4 linked regions of the Schizosaccharomyces pombe genome follow. Changing the gene in region 2 together with the main gene of any one other region gives a genetic interaction. Each region holds a gene or a part of one and is shown on either strand. Other genes may lie near its edges.

Region 1 (4,310 bases), on a different chromosome or scaffold from region 2:
TGTGTTAAAAGATTACCTACGCCTATCCCTGCAGAAGAGCTACAAAAGCGATACAATTTACGAGATAAGTTAACCTTCATGATTGGAACGCGTGATTATGCTCTCCATATTGATACAGGCTCCATCGACGGAGTCATCACACTTGGAATACACGTTGCAGACGTCGCGTATTACGTTAAGCAAGATATGCCTCTTGATGATGAAGCTGCCAATAGAGTATCAGAAGTACAATTGTTGCAAGGTTCCGTACCCTTTTTACCGAAAAAGGTCTCAGAAGAGATTTCCCTTATAGAGGGACATGATTGTTTAACAATTAGTATAGTTGTACAGCTTGATTTGAAAAGCGGCGCTGTTTTACAGTGTTCCCTTGGGCCCTCTGTAATCCACCCGTCAAGTTTTATTAGTTTAGAAAGTGCACAAGCAAACTTGCAAACCAACGAAGCGCTTCAGCTAGTTGATGCATCGGCCCATGTCCTTACCAAACTAAGATTGAAAACAGATAAGAAACTTGACTTACAATCCTTATACTGCTTTGAATTTTGCGATGGGCAGATTCCTAATATACAGAATATTAACATGAGTATTTTTGAGGCATTCCCTATTGCATGTTCTTTACAACAAATTGAACATTGGGTAAACGAGAAAGTTGCATCTCATTTAATGTCTGTTTTTCCCAGTAAAGTGATTTTGCGAAAAAATCAAAGACCTTCTGACTTTGCATCTCTTGTTGCAGTTTCTGAGTTAACCGGAGTGAATTTATCTGCTTCATCTACTCCTTCGGAAATCATGACCGAAATTGCAACTACCAAGGATAAGAGAACCAAAATGTTACTACAATTGACTCTAAGAAGAATGTGTAATGAATCTGAATACACTATCGGTACTTCAAATGCTAAGGATGTTTCGCATTTTGTGTTCTCTTGTCCTTACTACACCCATTTTTGTCACCCTACTCGTAGATATATCGATATATGTGTACAGAGACAATTACGCGAAGCCTTTGATGGCAGACCAGACTTTTCCAAAGACTACAGAAGTTTACTTTCTATAACTCAGTCTTGTAACACACTGAGCAACTTCTACCGTAATGCCCAGGAAAAAAGTCTACATGCATATTTATGTCAACTTCTCCATTCTATTAATTTACGATCTGGGCTCGTTAAGCATAAGGCTTTTGTTTTGGCTGTTGACCAGGAGTATATTGACATAGTCATATACGAATTTGGCTTGGAAAGAAGGATCTCCTTGGATCTGCTACCGCTTAGTAACTGCGACTTTAATGAGCAAAAACACGAACTCTATTTATCATGGAGGACAAATGCTTCTTTCTTTTATGCTTCATCTTCTTTGGAAATTGATACACCTTGTTTCAATGACTTTAAGAAAAAATTTTTGGATTCCAACGGGATGTGCAAACAAATATGCGATATGATGGATGCACAGGTTCGGGATTTAGCTAACGCTGCTGAGTCCCAGGAGTCTTTCTATTCAAAGGCTCGAGGCAATGACAGTACTAGTAAAACAGCTAAAAGTTCCTCTGGCAATCAGGATATTTCCGGAGATGGAAAACTTCATAGTTTACGTATGAAAGAGCCTGAGGTTGTTCAAACCATCCGTCCAGGCCAAGAGGTTAGTGTACTTATATTTGCTGATACTTCCGCTACTTACTCACTCTCGTTAATTACTTTACAAAGTCCTCTATCCAGTTAATCTTCAATAACTGGTGATCTTCGCTAATGTGTATGCCTCACGATTTATTTTTAATGTATGATTAATTGCATATGTCTAACGTTATATACTTCTACCACTTATTTCTTTTTACCTAAACGTTTTGGATTTATTTTAGAGGATTCGAATAATCGCATGGGTTTGTTTGTTTTTTGGTGGACTTAAATGTTTTTAAGGATTTTTATCAAAATATTTTAATGCTTATTTACGGTTCATGTCTTACGATTGTATTTCTTATTGGCTTTTTTTATTCATTTTTCTCATTTTTTTTTTTTTATTTCTTTATTATTTTTTTTTACTAGTAATACTTTTGCATCGTTTAAAGGGAAAAGTTATGCCCTTATGTTTTTTTCAATAAAATGGATTATCAAATCATTGCTATCAAAATATATAAATAATTAAAAGTAAATTAGTTATTTATTCACGTCACTATGGTTGATACCTACCCGCTTAAAGTTCATTACTAAAATCTTTATTGTATTTCTCTTATTTTCTTCTGAACAGTGCAGCTTACCTCATATTTCAACAGTCAACGGCATCTGCAGTATTATCCTAGTATATTACAAATAACTAATTAAACATGTAATTTTCCATGAATATACTTCGATCAGTAGTTTCGAGGGGTCGAAAAGGCCTCAAACAAGAAAAAGTGAATCGTAGCTTTGCTTACTTAGATATGGTTTATATTACTTCCAAGGTAATTGCTATGTCTACACCGGCTGCTGGAATACATAAGTTATATCGAAACGACGAATTGGATGTATTTAAATATCTTACAACGCAATTGAAAGACAACTGGATATTGTTGAATTTATGTGCCGAAGAAACAGTTTACCATTTGGAATTATTTAAACCAAATGTCATAAATTATGGATTTCAAGATCATAATCCACCTCCGCTTCTCTTTTTATGGGCTATTGTTATGAATATGGATGCACTCTTTCAAACGCAACCTTTGTTGACATTGGTAGTTCATTGTAAGGCCGGAAAAGGACGTACAGGAACTGTAATATGTAGCTACTTGGTAGCTTTCGGAGGCTTGACAGCCAAGCAAAGTCTTGAACTATATACTGAAAAAAGAATGGTTCGAGGGCACGGTCTTACCATTTCATCGCAAATACGTTACGTCTATTATATCGAAATTTTAAAACAGTTCCCGAATTATTTGAAAGCTGTGGAATTTAATACTGGTACCACTTTTTTTAAAAGTTTTAAATGTTTGAATATTAAAAAAAATTCATCTTTGATTCTATCATTGCATGCCTTCTCTAAGGGACGAAACATAAATCCAGTTGCTCTGTGGAAGAGTTCAGATATATCATCCCATAATGTAAGCATAAAAGAAGGAAAACGTATATGGGGGATACAATGCAACCTAGAAACATCGGAGAAAGACCTTTTGCTCAGAGTCGAACGCAAGGGCCAGTTTTACTTTCCTTCGAGTGTGCAATGTTGGTTTCATACTCACTTTCAACCTATGCTTGTGGAATACACAAACGGGATAAATTTTCAACAAGGTATAAATTCCTTTCTGCAAGGACAACAGTCAATTTCGTTCTCCTGGTCTGAAATGGATAATAGCCGACGAAGTGACCCCTTTTTCGAACAACTGACAATTGTATATGAAAATGTTTTTTGATATTTTGTAAATATTATATTAGTGTAAAATAAAATGATTATTTGTGCAATTAGATCCTCCTTTCGATCATCGAAATAAACTCACATGTTGAAGTGTTTCTACTTCAGTAAATTACAGAGGCGCTTCAAGTTTTTTTTTTAAATTTTAAAAAAAACATAGGAGTTTGAGTTTAAGGCTTATACTCTAAGATTCGAGTTTGCAGTTACGATTTATGGTATTAACTCATCGTGGCTACATTACCGACATCCACTTGAATTGAGCTTGTCTTCCACCAACGCTTGTTAATCGCTGAATTGACTCTCATGTCTGGGATATCACTATCCTTGCGTCAATTGGATTATAGAGATTGGTTTCAGCGAAAAAGTATGCTCTTGTTTTGTTTTTGAATGATGCTAACTAGTTTATTAGTCAGTCGAGATATCTACGGCAATTCGACTTGGTTGACCGGTATAGATTTGCAGAAAGAATTAACTGGTCATACGGGATGTGTTAATACACTAGAGTAAGTGTTTTATAACAATTTGTTCTACAATGCTTACAATTTTCAGCTGGTCCGCGGACGGTGAATTCTTGTTATCAGGAAGTGATGATACAAGACTAATTGTCTGGGATGTTTTCAATGAATACAAGCCACGGCATTTAATATCTACTGGCCATGTTCAAAATATCTTCAGTGCGAAATTTGTCCCATATTCTAATAACCGGCAAATATTGTCTGCTAGTGGTGATAAGCTTATTAAGTTGTTTGATTTAGATTCAAGTAAAGAAGGAGGAATGGATCACGGCATGGAGACTCAAACTAGATGTTGGAGTTGTGCTCTTGATTCTGTTAAAAACATCGTCCCTTGTGACAATGGTCATACTTTTCTAGTTTGCAGTGAAGATGGGACGGCTCGTCAATACGATATTCGTGAGCCACATGTCTGCAATCAAGATTTGGATT
Region 2 (5,038 bases):
AATGAAGAAGGGTCAAGCGAAAGATTGAAGCAATACTCAATGAATGCGATATCCATGAATATCGGCATTTTTTCATGACACATTGATTTCGAATAACCCAAATATCGTAAGCAGGCTAATTGGTTAATGATTTTCAAGATTGGCTTTCATACCGTTCACAATGGAAGATTCTTCTCTCTGCATATCATAATGATTTTCCTTGATGAAAAACGTTTCTAGTGTATTCAGCACAGATTGTGAACGAATCTTCTCATTCATTTTATGGAAAAAACTAATCTATACACGAAGGATAAAAGTATAAAAAGTTGGTAAAGTCAATGTAAGTTGGTCTACGAGATAAAATGAATACCATTCCGTAAGAGAAAATAAATCATTTAATAAAGAAATCTAAAAACGAATGGATCGAATAGCTTTGTCTACTGTTATGTTTCTTGGAACATCGTACAGAAGACGAATTTAACTCCTTAAAGAAGTGTATTTTGTTTAATGTTATAAATTATTCCCTTAAACAGTGAACTGCTTTATCCAAAAAAGCGGTAAGCAAAATTTCCAAATGAAAAAAGTATTTGAATGGAAGATCGACTTTGGCGTGACAAAAGAATAAATTTTACTCTCCATTTTAAGTCCTTCATTTTCATAACGCTATGCCAATTACCTTGGATCACGGTGGTGTTTGTGCCTTAAGACATGAAAAGCTTACGAAATAAACATGCTTTAGGCGATTGATCATTTCTTCCAAGATATTTTTCCTTATTCAATCTCAAAAATTACTCTAATTTGTTATTTGCTAGAACTAAATGATCCATCTGATTGAATGTTTTTACTACCCAAGCCTCTTAAGATTCTATCCGAAGTTCTTTATTTACTTGTGCACAAAACCCGAAGGAATGGGAAAAGCAATTATCTATCTAGTAAGACAAAAAACATTAGATACTGTCCTTTGATTATAATTTCAATGGATTCTTAAAGTTGAATATTCAGTGCTAGCTTCTTTATATTATAGACATTCAAAGTAAACTTGAGAACGAAGAAAAGGAATATTGGATATTTCCTTTTTCTTTTTGTTAAATATATATATATATATATATTTTTGGAAAATAAAAATAAATTGATATGTTTGAAATAAACGAAGTATACGTTATGTGTATCTTACTTTAATTTTTTTTAACTTTATTTTATTATTTATTTTTTTTTTAAGGAAATTTCAAATCTTTAGATTTTCAAAATAGCTCAATCATTTGCTGTACTTATCCATGCAAGCTTAATCATTATAAATTGATTAATAGAGGTTCTAAAAAGTAAGCCTTTATAAAATTGGATTTACAGCATCCAGCTCTTCACGCAACACACCCATATCGATGCTTTTGTTTACGTTGAGCAGATTCGTTTTGTTTACATTCAACGAAATCGACGTTGTCAACGACTTCAAACATCGCAAGCTTATGGACTATTCGCAATAATGGAACTGGGTTTCAGAAGTTTTTGGCTTGGTAAATTCGGGATTGCTCCTTTCCCATACAGAAAGCGATAATTTTATCCATTTACTGCCATTAGTGCGAATTATTGGAGAATGTGCCGGACAATTCGGTGAACTCCGGTGACTTTATATATCTAGGGAAGAAACTGGTAGAAACAACACTTCGCTGGTATCAAGTGTTTTGCGGTGAAAGAGTTGATAAAAAAGAGAATTAAGCTGCTCTTTTCGGTAAATTAAAACATTTTGAATAACTTGGGAAAAAACTTGCTTTTGTAGGAACTGAAAAACGACGAAATTGACGTCTTCAAATTGTTTGTTAAAAAACGGAATCAAAAATTGTGTTTGGAGTCCATTGGCGAGTAAATTTTTAACTCTTCATATATGTTTGTAGGAAACACTAATGAAAATTGATTCAAACGGCATAGTGAATCCGCATTCTATAACGAACGAAATCCCTTCGTATGATGAAAAGCAGGCTGTCGATTTGAATGGGAATGCTTTTGCTCCAAATGGTACGTTTCAAAAAAAGGATTTGATATCCCATAAAAACGATTTCGAACGTACGATGCGCCACGATGTTCTTCATACCAACCCCAAAATCGAAGTTCGGTCGGAGACCCATATTTATGAACCTAACGATTCATTATTTAAGGAAAATCAAGATTTCCCCTCAAATCCCACTGCCCACTCTCCTTCTTCCTCTTCTAACGATTCGGTAATTACGGCTACTGGCGTACCTGATGGTATCTTGAGAGATTCTCCCATCGTAAGTGCCCTCGAGCCTCCTTCCTCCAATTCTTCCTCTTCTCCCCAATTACAAAATTTAAAGCATCAATTATCCTCTCCTCAACCTTCTCGCGCCCCCATAGATCGCTCTTCCTCCAACCCTGTAACCTCATCTCAGCAGCCACCTAATGATCGTTCCACGCTCAGCTCCTCGCAGAAGGCGAAGCGGCCGCTAAAGCGATCTTACTCCGAAAAAAATTCTAGCAACGCTGAACCTTCTGGCTCGAGATCCGGCGACCGAGGTACCAACGTCAGTACCTCGGGTTCTCTTTTGGATGGCATTCCCCCCGATATTGGCTCTGCTAGCTGGGCTGAAGCAGTCAAACAAAAACGTGTTAACATGCGCCGTCGCAGGGAAGAACTGGACGATGAGTGCGTTCTCGTTGGAACTAGAGTTTCAGAGGGCCATGAAAACTATGTTACAGCGTACAACATGCTTACTGGAATTCGCGTCGGTGTTTCTCGTTGCCAAGCGAAAATGGACCGTGAGCTTACTCCTGCTGATTTTACTGCTCGTCACAAGTTTACCTTTGACATTACTGGCAACGAACTCACTCCCTCCGCCAAGTATGATTTTAAGTTCAAAGATTATGCACCTTGGGTATTTAGACATCTAAGGCAGCTGTTTCATTTAGATGCTGCAGATTATCTTGTATCTCTTACCAGTAAGTACATTTTGTCTGAGTTAGATTCTCCTGGGAAAAGTGGTTCTTTTTTTTATTTTTCTCGTGACTATCGATTCATTATTAAAACAATCCATCACTCTGAGCACAAATTTTTGCGTGAAATTCTTTATGATTACTACGAACACGTCAAGAATAATCCGAACACATTGATTTCGCAATTTTATGGGTTGCATAGGGTAAAATTACCCTTTGGCCGAAAAATCCATTTTGTTGTAATGAACAACCTTTTCCCACCTCATCGTGATATCCACCAAACTTTTGATCTCAAAGGATCCACCCTAGGAAGGGAACTCGACGAAAATCAACCTTGTCAAAGTCCCATGTGTACAATGAAAGATACAAATTGGATTCGCAGAAATATGCATCTTCAGTTTGGTCCTTTAAAGCGTCAGATATTCTTAACTCAGGTCAAAGCCGATATTGATATGCTGTCCTCTTTAGGAATTATGGATTACAGTTTACTTGTCGGCATCCATGACCTTTCACGTGGTAATCGTGACAAAATTCGTAATAGCATTCTGTCAGTTTACGACCCAAATGTGTCGCAACATCGAGTGCCCTCGATTAATGGCAATGAATCTCACTCAAACGTTCATGTAATCAGACAAGTCGTTAATAGCACCGGTCCTGTTTCGTTGGATCAATCTTGTAATCTATTGCCGACCGACCAGTTCGTTGAGTAAGTGCTTATTATTTTTTTAACAATTAGACTATTTTTTAACACTATTTTAGGAGAAGAAACTTCATGTTCTACAGTGATGACGGTGGATTCCAAGCCACCGATGAAAACAATGAGCCAGGAAACTTTATCTTTTATATCGGAATAATTGACTTACTTACTAAGGTATGATAAATTGCGTAAATTTTTTTATGGGAATGCAAAGTCTTTTACTTGTTTTCCTTGTTTGCTTTTATTTTCATTATACTTACCGGTGTTTAGTATTCATATGTTAAGCGCGTTGAGCATTTATGGAAGGGCATTAATCATTCAGATTCTGTCATTTCTGCTGTTCCACCTGCTGAATACGCTTCACGCTTCTACAAATTTGTAGAGTCAAGTATTAAGCCAACTCTTTTAGTTTTGAAACCATTCCCCTTAAAACCGCAGGATGGCCAGCGTGTTAACAAACAGCAAAGCGTTAATGCTGGCAATGTGCGCACTAATAACAAGCATGGTTCTCTTAATAATAATACAGCTCCTTCTTCTCGCAATGCTAAAAGCACTTCTGCTCATAAATCACCCAAAACAGAACACCGATTTCCATTCCCATGCCGCAATGTTACTACGAACACTTCTTCATCTTAATAAATTTTAATGTCTTTGAAGTGCACATATTTCAAGTTTAATGCATTTATTTATAATGCTTTACCACCTTTTTATTCTTGTATATATTGGCTAATTTATCTTTTTATTTTAGAGAAAAAACAAAGCAAAGCATGTATGCCGAAGTGCATTAACGGATGCACAACCTATAACTTATTGCTCTAATTAGCGCTTTTATTATTTACATCTCAAATAACTTATGTTCGTCAGTTCCTCACCAATCTTTGTCAAAAAGCTATATTATTATGATATAACTTAAAATTCATTAGGAAGAAAGTATGCTTTTGTAACGAGTAAACGTATGTACTTAGAAAAGAGCGATTCATAGTAGTGGAAGTAGTTCAATTACGAAGACCTCTCAACTAAACATAAATAACTAGAGCATAAATTAATTTAAAGGCTGAACTAAGATCCAGGATTGTGTGTCTCAATAAATAAATCTTTGTAAAGAACAAGATGAATCGGGCATCTTCGTTGAAATAGTTAGTTTGTCATTCAGTTAGTAAAATTTGCCAAATCAGCAAGGATATCAATAACATTTGCAGGGTCTGCGATACACCAGTCGGCGATAGAAAGCTTTTTGTCGGATCCAATGGTAACTGCAAATGAAGTTTCCTTGTTAATACGAGTGTTTTTATGCAAAGAGCGGAACATATCTTCATCAGTTCTATCATCACCTGCACAAAAGATAAAAGAAGGAAGTGAATCTTCTGGATACGAACTTAAAATCTGTTTGACAATTCCTCCTTTGTTGATACTGGAAGG
Region 3 (4,470 bases), on a different chromosome or scaffold from region 2:
TTAAAAACAAGCTACTAAACAGTAGCCTGTTTATCGAGCCTCTTCATGGTGAAATCATTAGCCGTTACAGCAAAGCTCATCTTTTTGATGTTGAAATTAAAAATGGACCAACTTTAAAAGAGTCGAATACTACACTTCGTGGTGAAGCTATTCTCCCACCTTGTAAAACCCCTCTAGGCAAAGTTGGTTCTGCAATTTGTTTTGACATCCGCTTCCCAGAACAAGCTATAAAGCTTAGAAACATGGGTGCTCACATTATCACATACCCTAGTGCTTTTACTGAAAAGACCGGAGCTGCTCATTGGGAAGTGCTGTTGAGAGCTCGCGCTTTGGACTCTCAGTGTTATGTTATAGCTCCTGCGCAAGGTGGAAAGCATAACGAGAAGCGTGCTAGTTATGGTCATTCCATGGTATGTCGTCTTCAAGTTTCACCTGTCTGTTTAAGAATTCTTGCTAATTAAAATTTTTAGATTGTTGACCCTTGGGGTATGTCATTTTGACAATTTTATTAGGTAAAATAACTTGAAATTCTAATGCATCTAGGTACTGTTATTGCTCAATACAGTGATATCTCTTCTCCGAATGGCCTCATTTTTGCTGACCTTGATTTGAATCTTGTTGACCATGTACGAACTTATATTCCACTATTACGTAGAAACGATTTATACCCGACCATTTAGCACTGTTATACAAACTGAGGTGATTTCAATTTAAATTAAAGAGAAAATTTTTTTTCGGCTTGTTTACGAAGTATTCATTATTACTTACGGATTTGCAAGATTAAAGCCTGAATACTATGAAAATAAATTTGCGACAATTAAATAATTCCATAAAACCGTAAATTACTGAGCGCTCGATATAGTAAACATAATAGAATCGAAGTGGAATGCAAAAAGTAAGTACTTATTTTATTAATTAATGCATAATTTATATATGTATAACGATTAGGCATCATATAGGAAAAGTGCAATACACAGACAAAAAGAAGAAAAATTAAAAAAAATAAAAAGAAATAGACTTCTTACAATAAAGCATGAAAAATCATTAATGACTGCACCTTCAGAATCACTTTGATTCAAAAGTGTTGTTTTGTGATTAGAAAAAAAGTTAAAATAAAAAACAAAATATAGTCCCTGCGGAAACCCCCCGAACATTCTTTCCCATGCGTGGAAAGAATAACCGTATTATAGTAGTATTTGGAATATAAATTAAAGGACCCTATTCAATTTAGGATCTTGCATGAATTAGTAATATTAAACGATTAAAATACTAAGAATTGGATGTGGACTTTGGAATAAGTTGAGATGCGACAATACCGATGCCTATTACAGTAATGGCCGCAAGCATGTTGCAACCATTGAATATGTTTTCTTGAAGAAAAACAGCAGGAACCTTGGTGCCAGGCTTGTGTTTTTCTTCCTGCAATTCAGCGAGTTGAAGTCGAAATAAAAGCAATCCATTGGATCGAGACATATATTCCCAAGGATCGCCAGTATTACGAAGACAACTGTACGGAGAAATTTGGTATCGGTCCAAGGGTAGAGAAGAAAAGGGTACTGCTGATATAGTTGCACAGGTATTTTTAATTAGTTGATTTACGTTAATAGACGCCGGAAGTTTGCACAAATAGCTATGCAATAAATCAGCACCAGAATTATCCCATAAAAGCTCAATAATGGAAGTACGGTTATCAAGCACAACCTGAGCACACGTGTACACGACGGTAAGAGGATGAGAAGAGATGAAGAAGTCAAATAACCTGCATACCACCGAAATGTCTGAAACATCGTGTGCAAACCAAGTGATTAACCATGAAAGAGCAAAATAACACTGGATATCTGCCTTTATTAAATACTCATAAAGAGTGGGATCGCGAGCCTTGATAACTGCTAAAATTAGCTGCAATTGTTTCACCGTGCCATCAAGGGTAGGAAGCATAAAGTCCCGAAGACGGTAAAATACTAGATGCTCCATTAAAGGGAGAGCATGAGAGAAAGGAAGGGTAAGAAGCAAGATCTGGGCAATATCATGAAGACCTTGATAGTAGCATAGTTCCGGATAATGCTTAAAGACTACACTGAGCAGCTTGGTCAATTGAGAACGGTGTTTACGAAGTAGAAATGGATTCAACTTGTACTGAAAGAATGATCGTTCCGAATCCAAATGAACCTGATTCTGGTCGGCATAAGAAGACTGAGAAGTAGATCTCGAAAGACACTCCATTCGATGTCGACACGATAAACCACAAAGACTGACCCATACAGACTTGCGCAGACTCTTCATGAGGAAGCCATGTCCTTCTTTGCCAATGTGGGAAAGTGTTTCGACATCAGAGTTCAATAATGCAATTTTGATTTCATTTTTTAGTTGTTTTATCTCCTTCTTCTTCATCTCATGAGCGAAATCGCCACTTCCCTTAAGGGAGAAATATTTGAAGAAGAATATTTTTGAAATTTTGAACTGAAAACTAAATCACACTTTGCTTAGGAATCCTGAAATCCTTTAATCTCAGGCCTTTACTTTTTCATAAATAGCTAAATTTTTCTTTAATAAAATATCTCGTTTGGCATCTAAAACACCGTTTTATAAAGGATCAAAAAAGTTGGGCGCAGTTAGTGGTCTGTGGGTTGATGTACGTACCCACTTAAATGGGAAAAAAAAAATCAGAAGATGAAAAGGAACACAATGAACAACTGCGCCGAACACCCTCTCGACAACCTTAATAAAAGAAGATCTTTAACAACTTTAAAAAGAAAGAAAGAAAGTAAATTTAAAATTTTATAAAAATTCTTAAACGAAGCATTTTTACGGTTTTTTTTTTTTTTTCGAATATCGTTAGTATTATTACTATACCATCTCCTTATGAAATTTTTTTTTGCTAGTTAATATATGATGGCGAAGTAAAGTAGAAGGGCTTTTATAAATAGCTGTAAAGTTCAACAGCATGTGTGTCAACTCATAAGGAGAGACTTCCATCAAATCAAACAAGAAGAACTTTCTTTATTTCTTCTCTTTTCTTCTTTTCTTTTTTTCAAATTAAGGAAAGAATATCAGTATGCACTGCCGAAATCGTTATGTTACTATTAGATGGTGGATTGTACAAATAATAAAATTAATATCCGTATGAATATTTGACAAATGAAACAGTTCCCTGCTGTAGATCCTGCGGGTTTGTTTAGCTGTCATTGTAAAACGATTGCGGATAAATCTTCTTTACTTTCCCACCAAATAATGCTATATCCAAAGTATCAAAAGTTTTGTGCGGGTAAGTCGTTAAAATAACACCATTCCTCCAAAAAAATAAATAAATATAATATAAAAAATAAAACGAACCCCTTCAAACGAGGGAGAATACTCTCCTGAAGATGAACGAATTTTGAAAAATTTTTCTTATTTTTTAATTAAAATCTATTTAATGGTATTTGCTGAAAACTCGATTTGACCCCAAGCAAATGTTGAGACATTCATGTAAAAGAAATTATTACGAAAAAGAAAAAAATAAGCGATGACTTAAAACCATCAGTAATGAATCCACATGTTAAAGTAGCGAATACTTAAGCTTGATAAAAAGAATACCTAATTCTAATATAATCCTAGTAGGAAATATTAATATAAATTTTTGAGGTGGCTCTTTTATTGAAGTATCGCTTCATTTTGTATTAGTTAAAATAGGCAATACATCAATCTATTTAGCTTTTAGATTAAAACTACATATTGTTATATTTCAAAAATCCGTGCTTAATTCAGTTGGGCTTACTATAATATTAAACAGATAGTTTCTGGATTTATTTTGAGTGGAATGGCTTGTTTCAGATAGAAAGGATATGATTTGAGAAGTGTGAAGTTAAGAATTTACTGCTTTTGTCTTAAAAAGCATACTCAAACTTGCTGAAACATATTTAGGTCTGTATTCATGATGAATCTTAGTTTTCCCAATTTATTTCTCATCATCTACCAGCTAAACCCAGCAATCTGAGTGAAAAGGTATCTTCATTAAAAACCTATAATCGTGAAAATCATATTGGAATGTTCTAACATTTATCAAACAACATCCTTTCTGTTTACAGCGAGGTTTCTTGTGTTGATTTTGCTACTTTAGATAAGTCAGATCAAGGTAACATATTTGTGGGTCAGCGATCTGATAACTACAGATGGCTGGTATTCGAATTTTCGTTTGGATTAGCAAATTTGCTGCTTAGACCTATCTTTCCTCTTACCGCCTCTCCGTATACATTGTACATCCCATCTTTCATCGAAAGCTTTTGAGTATATAGACAGGCAAAGAGCTTTGAATGAGTTCCGCTGAACTCGGAAAGCTACATATTTATGCCTCTCCTGAACAATGGGAGAAGTGGAGTCCCCGTTGGAAAAGTATCGTTTTTCGAACGCAATATGAATCGATTTTCAAAAATCCGAAACACCATGGGGAGAAAAAACCTTTTCATTGCCTCTTCAAACTCGCTGGAACTA
Region 4 (5,409 bases), on a different chromosome or scaffold from region 2:
CGCTATGGCTGATTTCACCATTGAGGATTCGTCTGCCAAGGAACCCTCAGCTAAGAGCGGTGAAGAAAAGTCGGCTCCTTCTAGCGAGAAACAATCAAAAGAGACCTCTAGCCCATCTAATGTTTCTGGCGAAGAACGCGGTGATCGCGTTTTTGCTTCACCTCTGGCTCGCAAGTTGGCCGAAGAGAAGGATCTTGACTTATCCCAAATTCGCGGCTCAGGTCCCAATGGACGTATTATTAAGGTCGATATTGAAAACTTTAAACCTGTGGTCGCACCTAAACCTTCAAATGAGGCTGCTGCTAAAGCTACAACTCCTGCTGCCTCCGCTGCCGACGCAGCAGCACCTGGTGACTATGAAGATCTTCCTTTAAGCAACATGCGTAAGATCATTGCTTCTCGTCTTGCAGAAAGTAAAAACATGAACCCTCATTACTACGTTACGGTCTCGGTTAACATGGAAAAAATCATTCGCCTCCGTGCTGCCCTCAACGCCATGGCTGATGGACGCTATAAGCTTTCGGTTAACGACCTTGTTATCAAAGCTACTACTGCTGCTTTGAGGCAAGTTCCCGAAGTTAATGCGGCTTGGATGGGTGACTTTATTCGTCAATATAAGAACGTCGATATTTCTATGGCTGTTGCTACACCTTCTGGTTTAATCACTCCTGTAATTCGCAATACTCATGCACTCGGTCTTGCAGAAATTTCCACTTTAGCTAAGGATTATGGCCAACGTGCCCGTAACAACAAATTGAAGCCTGAGGAATATCAAGGAGGCACATTCACCATCTCTAATTTGGGTATGTTCCCTGTTGATCAATTCACTGCTATCATCAATCCTCCTCAAGCCTGTATCCTTGCTGTGGGAACCACTGTTGATACAGTTGTTCCTGATTCAACCTCTGAAAAGGGCTTTAAGGTTGCCCCCATAATGAAATGCACTCTTAGTTCCGATCATCGTGTTGTTGATGGTGCTATGGCTGCTCGATTTACCACCGCCCTAAAAAAGATCTTGGAAAATCCATTGGAGATTATGCTTTAAAATAAAGCAAAAGTCGGGTTGCTCATACTATCATGCAATTATTTTGTCAATAAAGGTGTTTACTCAGGTTATGTTTTCGGAGCTTTAACAGGAGCTTACGATCAATCGTTGTAGGTAGATTGAGCATTCTTTGTTTCTTGTATACATTTACTACTACAATTGGCTGTTTGAAAAAACGATTTTATTTACTAAGTGACTTTGTTCCGTTTCTGTCTTATAATACTTTGCTTGCTTTGCAAGCTTATAATTTTCCTTCCTATGTTTATTAAATATTACTTTTGTTTAGAATTAATAATACTTAAGTAATCTTGTTGATATCGTTAGTATTGACGGCAGGAAGCGCAATAATAGCTACGTTAAGTGCTGTTGGGTATGTAAATTATTGTTGTTTTATTCAATATATTTCAATAGATTGTTGCTTAGTAAGTGATAACCGACATCCCTTGTTTTAAACCAGTTCAAATGTTCGTTTGCAAATGGATATCTTTAATAATGTCTATTGGCATCAAAATCTGGCTTCTTAATTCATAAAAGAGATTTAAAGATATAGGGAATGTTTAAGTTTTAGAGAATATGAGCATGTTCGGTAAGAAAAACTTTCAGGAAAGGTAAGCAGGAATAAGGATATAAGGCATGTTCTATAACCTTTGATAAAGTCATTTAAATATTCGAAAGTTGTTTTCGCAGTAAACGCTTTATTTATGGCTCATGAGTCATTTCTCAATAACAAGATCATTTACATATGTCTGTAAACTCATTAATCTTCAGATCAGTTATTTTTGGTGGCGTGTTCCACTTAAGATAGCAGTTTGCACTAAATAATTAACTGAATTATACGGATCACTTTTCTATTTTTTGTGTTTAGAGGATACCGGTAGACACATTTACTCAAAATAAGCTTACACAAGCGACTCGTTTAAAGTTACCTTAATACGTCATTTTTAATACGTGAAGCTATATATTGATTTTGATCATCGTACTACTCAGAAGTATCCGTTAACCAACTAAAATTGCTGTCCATGTGATAGCCAGTTTTTTAGGTCCTATGTGGTTACTATTTCGTTCTAAGCATAAGAAGTTAGTCCTTCGATGTTTTCCTTCGGGGAAACTAGGAGAAACGGAACCGAATGGGTCACCTCTAGCATACCTAAGTTATTATGCTGCATCCAATTCGAGTAAACTGAGAAAAGTGGCTCATTTTTTAGGGAGTCGTGTTCGTCATAGCTATTATCATAAACGTGATAAGTAAGTTCCTGTTTTAGGCTCTATTTCTAAATGTTTTTAGTGAGGTTATTATCGGATTGAAAATATGCAAAACATTGGTTCAAAAATGTCGGGATAACATCAACGTGATGGCCTCCGAAGTTGTAAATATGCTCCTTGTTGCTAGTTCGTCAAAAAATTTAGAAGTTTTGTCTGCCTGCGTTGATTGTTTTGCTACGTTTTGCGATAATAGTGGAAAGGGGAGTCCTGCCACTTTTGGCAACGAATTCCATTCTGCTTTTAATAACTTAGTCAATTCATTTTTTGAATTATCAAAAGGTATTGATTGTGTTGATCCTCAGCAGTCGAAAATGCTTGGCCTGAAAGCATTCCATGCTTTAACCGCATGCAAGTTTGCTGGAACTGAAGGCGGAATGCGTTATCAACCTCATTTTGCTATACATTGCGTTTTGATTAATTCTTGGAGTGAATCAGATCAGGAGAAGAAGTCATTTATTGATTTGGTTCGTTCCACGGCTAAATCATATAAGCCATTGCCTCCTAGTAGTACTGGTGTTTCATTACCCGAGCATGATGAAGCGGGTGATAATATAGATGTTGCCATTAAGAAGTTATGTATTAGAATTTTGTTCAACATATATACTCAGACAGATCCTCTGTTTATGGCCGAAAGTACGAAGTCCTTGATACATTTTTTTGCAGCAAAATCCGACACTCCGGTAAATCTAGAATACATATCTGTCGTGCTTAACCAAATTTTGGATTGGACTCCTGTTGAACTTCGACATTCGATCTTTTTCTGTTGTCTTCGTTGTTTATCAAGTTCTCGTATTGTCAACTCTGAAACTAATGTGATGGTGCCATACATGATTTACTCCATTCTTAACTCGAAAAACTCAATTTCTGGCTTATCCGTTATTGACGTGTTACGTGATTTGGGGTCGCATCTTATCAACGCTGTCAATTCATTCGATGCTGATGACCAAACTTGGTATAATATGTGTGAATCTCCATCGGAAAAGCTCCCTAGGCGCCTTTATTTACTTTTGGTTTGTATCACCTGTTTAACTAAGCATCAATATTACGATGAAGAATTTGCTGATGTATGGCGAGAAATCGACACTCTTGCTAATTCTGAAACTTCTTCTGCTATACAAATGGTAGCTTTAACAGCTTTTCATAAGCTGCAAAATGAAAAGCTAAATACAAAAAAAGAATCCAGTGCTCCTCTCTCTTTAGTTACCGACTTTTTGTTGCATAGCTGGCCCAAATCCGCTGAACGTCTTCACACTTCCCAGTCACCTTTTGTACGAATAAAAACTGCTGAGGTGTTCTACGAATTTTTGTGCTTTCTCCGTCCATCTTTAATAAATTTCGATACTATTTTACGGAAAAGTGCAATCACATCATTTTCTGTATTATGGGATTTTATATATGAAACCAGTTGGCATATTGAACGTTGGCTCAAGGTGTTTTCGGTGCAGTCTGAATTTTATATTCTAAAACTCATCATCCAAAGGCTTTACCAGCTTTATGGTCCAGTTTCTGTAACAGCGGTATTACCTGCTATGTATCGCGGACTACGACCCTTTGAAAATGATCCTCCTCGCTGTATTGCCGAGGCGGTTACTGCTTATTATATCATCTATATTGGAGAGAATTTGAAGATCACAACTCTTCAGTCAAGTGGACGAAAGTGGCTTGATTCATTATCTAGCTCATTACCTTCGAGTCTCTTGAACAGAGGTTCTTCTACGCATTCTTGGGAGAAACTAACAAATGCCTCTACCGAGGAAGTCATGTTGCCTTTGGACATGGTTGTAAATGAATTATTGGAGAAAAGCCCGAAAGTATTCCCAGAGGACTCTAGACTACTATTTGCTGAGCAATCGCGACACCCCAAGTACACCGATATTATTCAAAAATTAAAGAAACCGTCTCGCGAAAAGTCTTTTACTTCTTCTTCAGAATATTCACTTCCATTTATATCACCGGCTTCGGATTACCAACAAAATCCTTTACTTCATGCTACCAAGTCGCTCGTTTCTATTCACCAGCAATCACAACGTGGAGAAATGGTTAGCACATTGAAACAGGCTCTATCAAGGCCACACACTGCTAGTACTGTCGTACGTTCTCCGTCGGAAATAAATCTTACAAGACAAACGAGCAACCGTGTACCTCTGCTTGATATGTTGAATCTTAATCGTGCTATGTCTCCGACACCTATTCAAAGTCCTCCATATGTACGCACTTAGTTCTACATATACATATTTTGCACTTAAAAAATGAAAAAAAGAATTATCGTTGCAAATCTATATTTAACCATGCAATTTAAATTTCAATTCCTAAGTTATAAGTAAATTTAATTACTGAGTAGTATACCAAATTATATTAATCAACAATATAACATTCACTAGCCTATCCTGATTACAACAACTCAAGATCTACTTAAATCCGAAGTAAAAAATGTTTACTTCTTGGCGCCAGCCTTAACAGCGGCCTTAGTGACCTTAGCGGCACCAGGGGCAACCTTCTCAACGGCCTTGATGACACCGACAGCGACGGTTTGACGCATGTCACGGACAGCGAAACGACCAAGAGGAGCGTAGTCAGTGAAAGCTTCAACACACATAGGCTTGGAAGGAACCATCTTAGCAATGCAAGCATCACCAGACTTGACAAACTTGGGGGACTCCTCAATCTTCTTACCGGAACGACGGTCAATCTTCTCAATGAGCTCAGCGAACTTGCAAGCAATGTGAGCAGTGTGGCAATCCAAAACAGGAGAGTAACCAGCAGAGATTTGACCGGGGTGGTTAAGAATGATGACTTGAGCGGTGAAGCTAGCACAACCCATGGGAGGATCGTTCTTGGAGTCACCACAGACGTTACCACGGCGAATATCCTTGACGGAAACGTTCTTAACGTTGAAACCAACGTTGTCACCGGGAAGACCAGCGTCGAGAGACTCGTGGTGCATCTCAACAGACTTGACTTCGGTAGTGACACCAGCGGGAGCGAAGGTGACAATCATACCGGGCTTGATAACACCAGTCTCAACACGACCGACGGGAACTGTACCAATACCACCGATCTTGTAAACATCTTGAAGGGGGAGACGAAGAGGCTTGTCAGTG

What was found.
Region 1: of its3 (region 2) and ptn1, changing one enhances a phenotype caused by changing the other (phenotypic enhancement), as found in Schizosaccharomyces pombe (one study listed by BioGRID).
Region 3: of its3 (region 2) and gyp10, a mutation in one rescues a mutant of the other (synthetic rescue), as found in Schizosaccharomyces pombe (2 studies listed by BioGRID, with this or other methods).
Region 4: mutations in its3 (region 2) and efr3 are lethal when combined (synthetic lethality), as found in Schizosaccharomyces pombe (one study listed by BioGRID).

The regions. Positions count from the first base shown.
Region 1 is NC_003423.3:3,159,503-3,163,812, forward strand, and holds ptn1 (phosphatidylinositol-3,4,5-trisphosphate3-phosphatase Ptn1), read left to right. Parts: upstream 1-2,226; 5' UTR 2,227-2,320; coding exon 2,321-3,367; 3' UTR 3,368-3,439; downstream 3,440-4,310. Other genes in the region: SPOM_SPBC609.01 (Dis3-like exonuclease family protein), read left to right, coding at 1-1,710; iqw1 (WD repeat-containing protein), read left to right, coding at 3,670-3,730, 3,776-3,869, 3,916-4,310. UniProt on the Schizosaccharomyces pombe protein: Acts as a phosphoinositide 3-phosphatase and regulates PtdIns(3,4,5)P3 levels.
Region 2 is NC_003424.3:4,070,499-4,075,536, forward strand, and holds its3 (1-phosphatidylinositol-4-phosphate 5-kinase Its3), read left to right. Parts: upstream 1-1,637; 5' UTR 1,638-1,877; coding exon 1,878-3,628; exon of another isoform or gene 3,629-3,681; coding exon 3,682-3,793; exon of another isoform or gene 3,794-3,796; intron 3,797-3,889; coding exon 3,890-4,255; 3' UTR 4,256-4,538; downstream 4,539-5,038. Other genes in the region: protein Poz1, read right to left, coding at 1-115, 153-258; trehalose-6-phosphate phosphatase Tpp1, read right to left, coding at 4,769-5,038. UniProt on the Schizosaccharomyces pombe protein: Catalyzes the phosphorylation of phosphatidylinositol 4-phosphate on the fifth hydroxyl of the myo-inositol ring, to form phosphatidylinositol 4,5-bisphosphate. Involved, together with the calcineurin ppb1, in cytokinesis.
Region 3 is NC_003423.3:1,240,555-1,245,024, forward strand, and holds gyp10 (GTPase-activating protein Gyp10), read right to left. Parts: upstream 2,618-4,470; 5' UTR 2,392-2,617; coding exon 1,270-2,391; 3' UTR 877-1,269; downstream 1-876. Other genes in the region: nit1 (nitrilase superfamily protein), read left to right, coding at 1-410, 471-486, 544-680; SPOM_SPBC651.04 (uncharacterized protein), read left to right, coding at 4,293-4,470. UniProt on the Schizosaccharomyces pombe protein: Has a role in vesicular trafficking and septation during cytokinesis.
Region 4 is NC_003421.2:263,355-268,763, forward strand, and holds efr3 (protein efr3), read left to right. Parts: upstream 1-2,033; 5' UTR 2,034-2,090; coding exon 2,091-2,290; intron 2,291-2,330; coding exon 2,331-4,527; 3' UTR 4,528-4,652; downstream 4,653-5,409. Other genes in the region: dihydrolipoamide S-acetyltransferase E2 Lat1, read left to right, coding at 1-1,045; tef101 (translation elongation factor EF-1 alpha Ef1a-a), read right to left, coding at 4,743-5,409.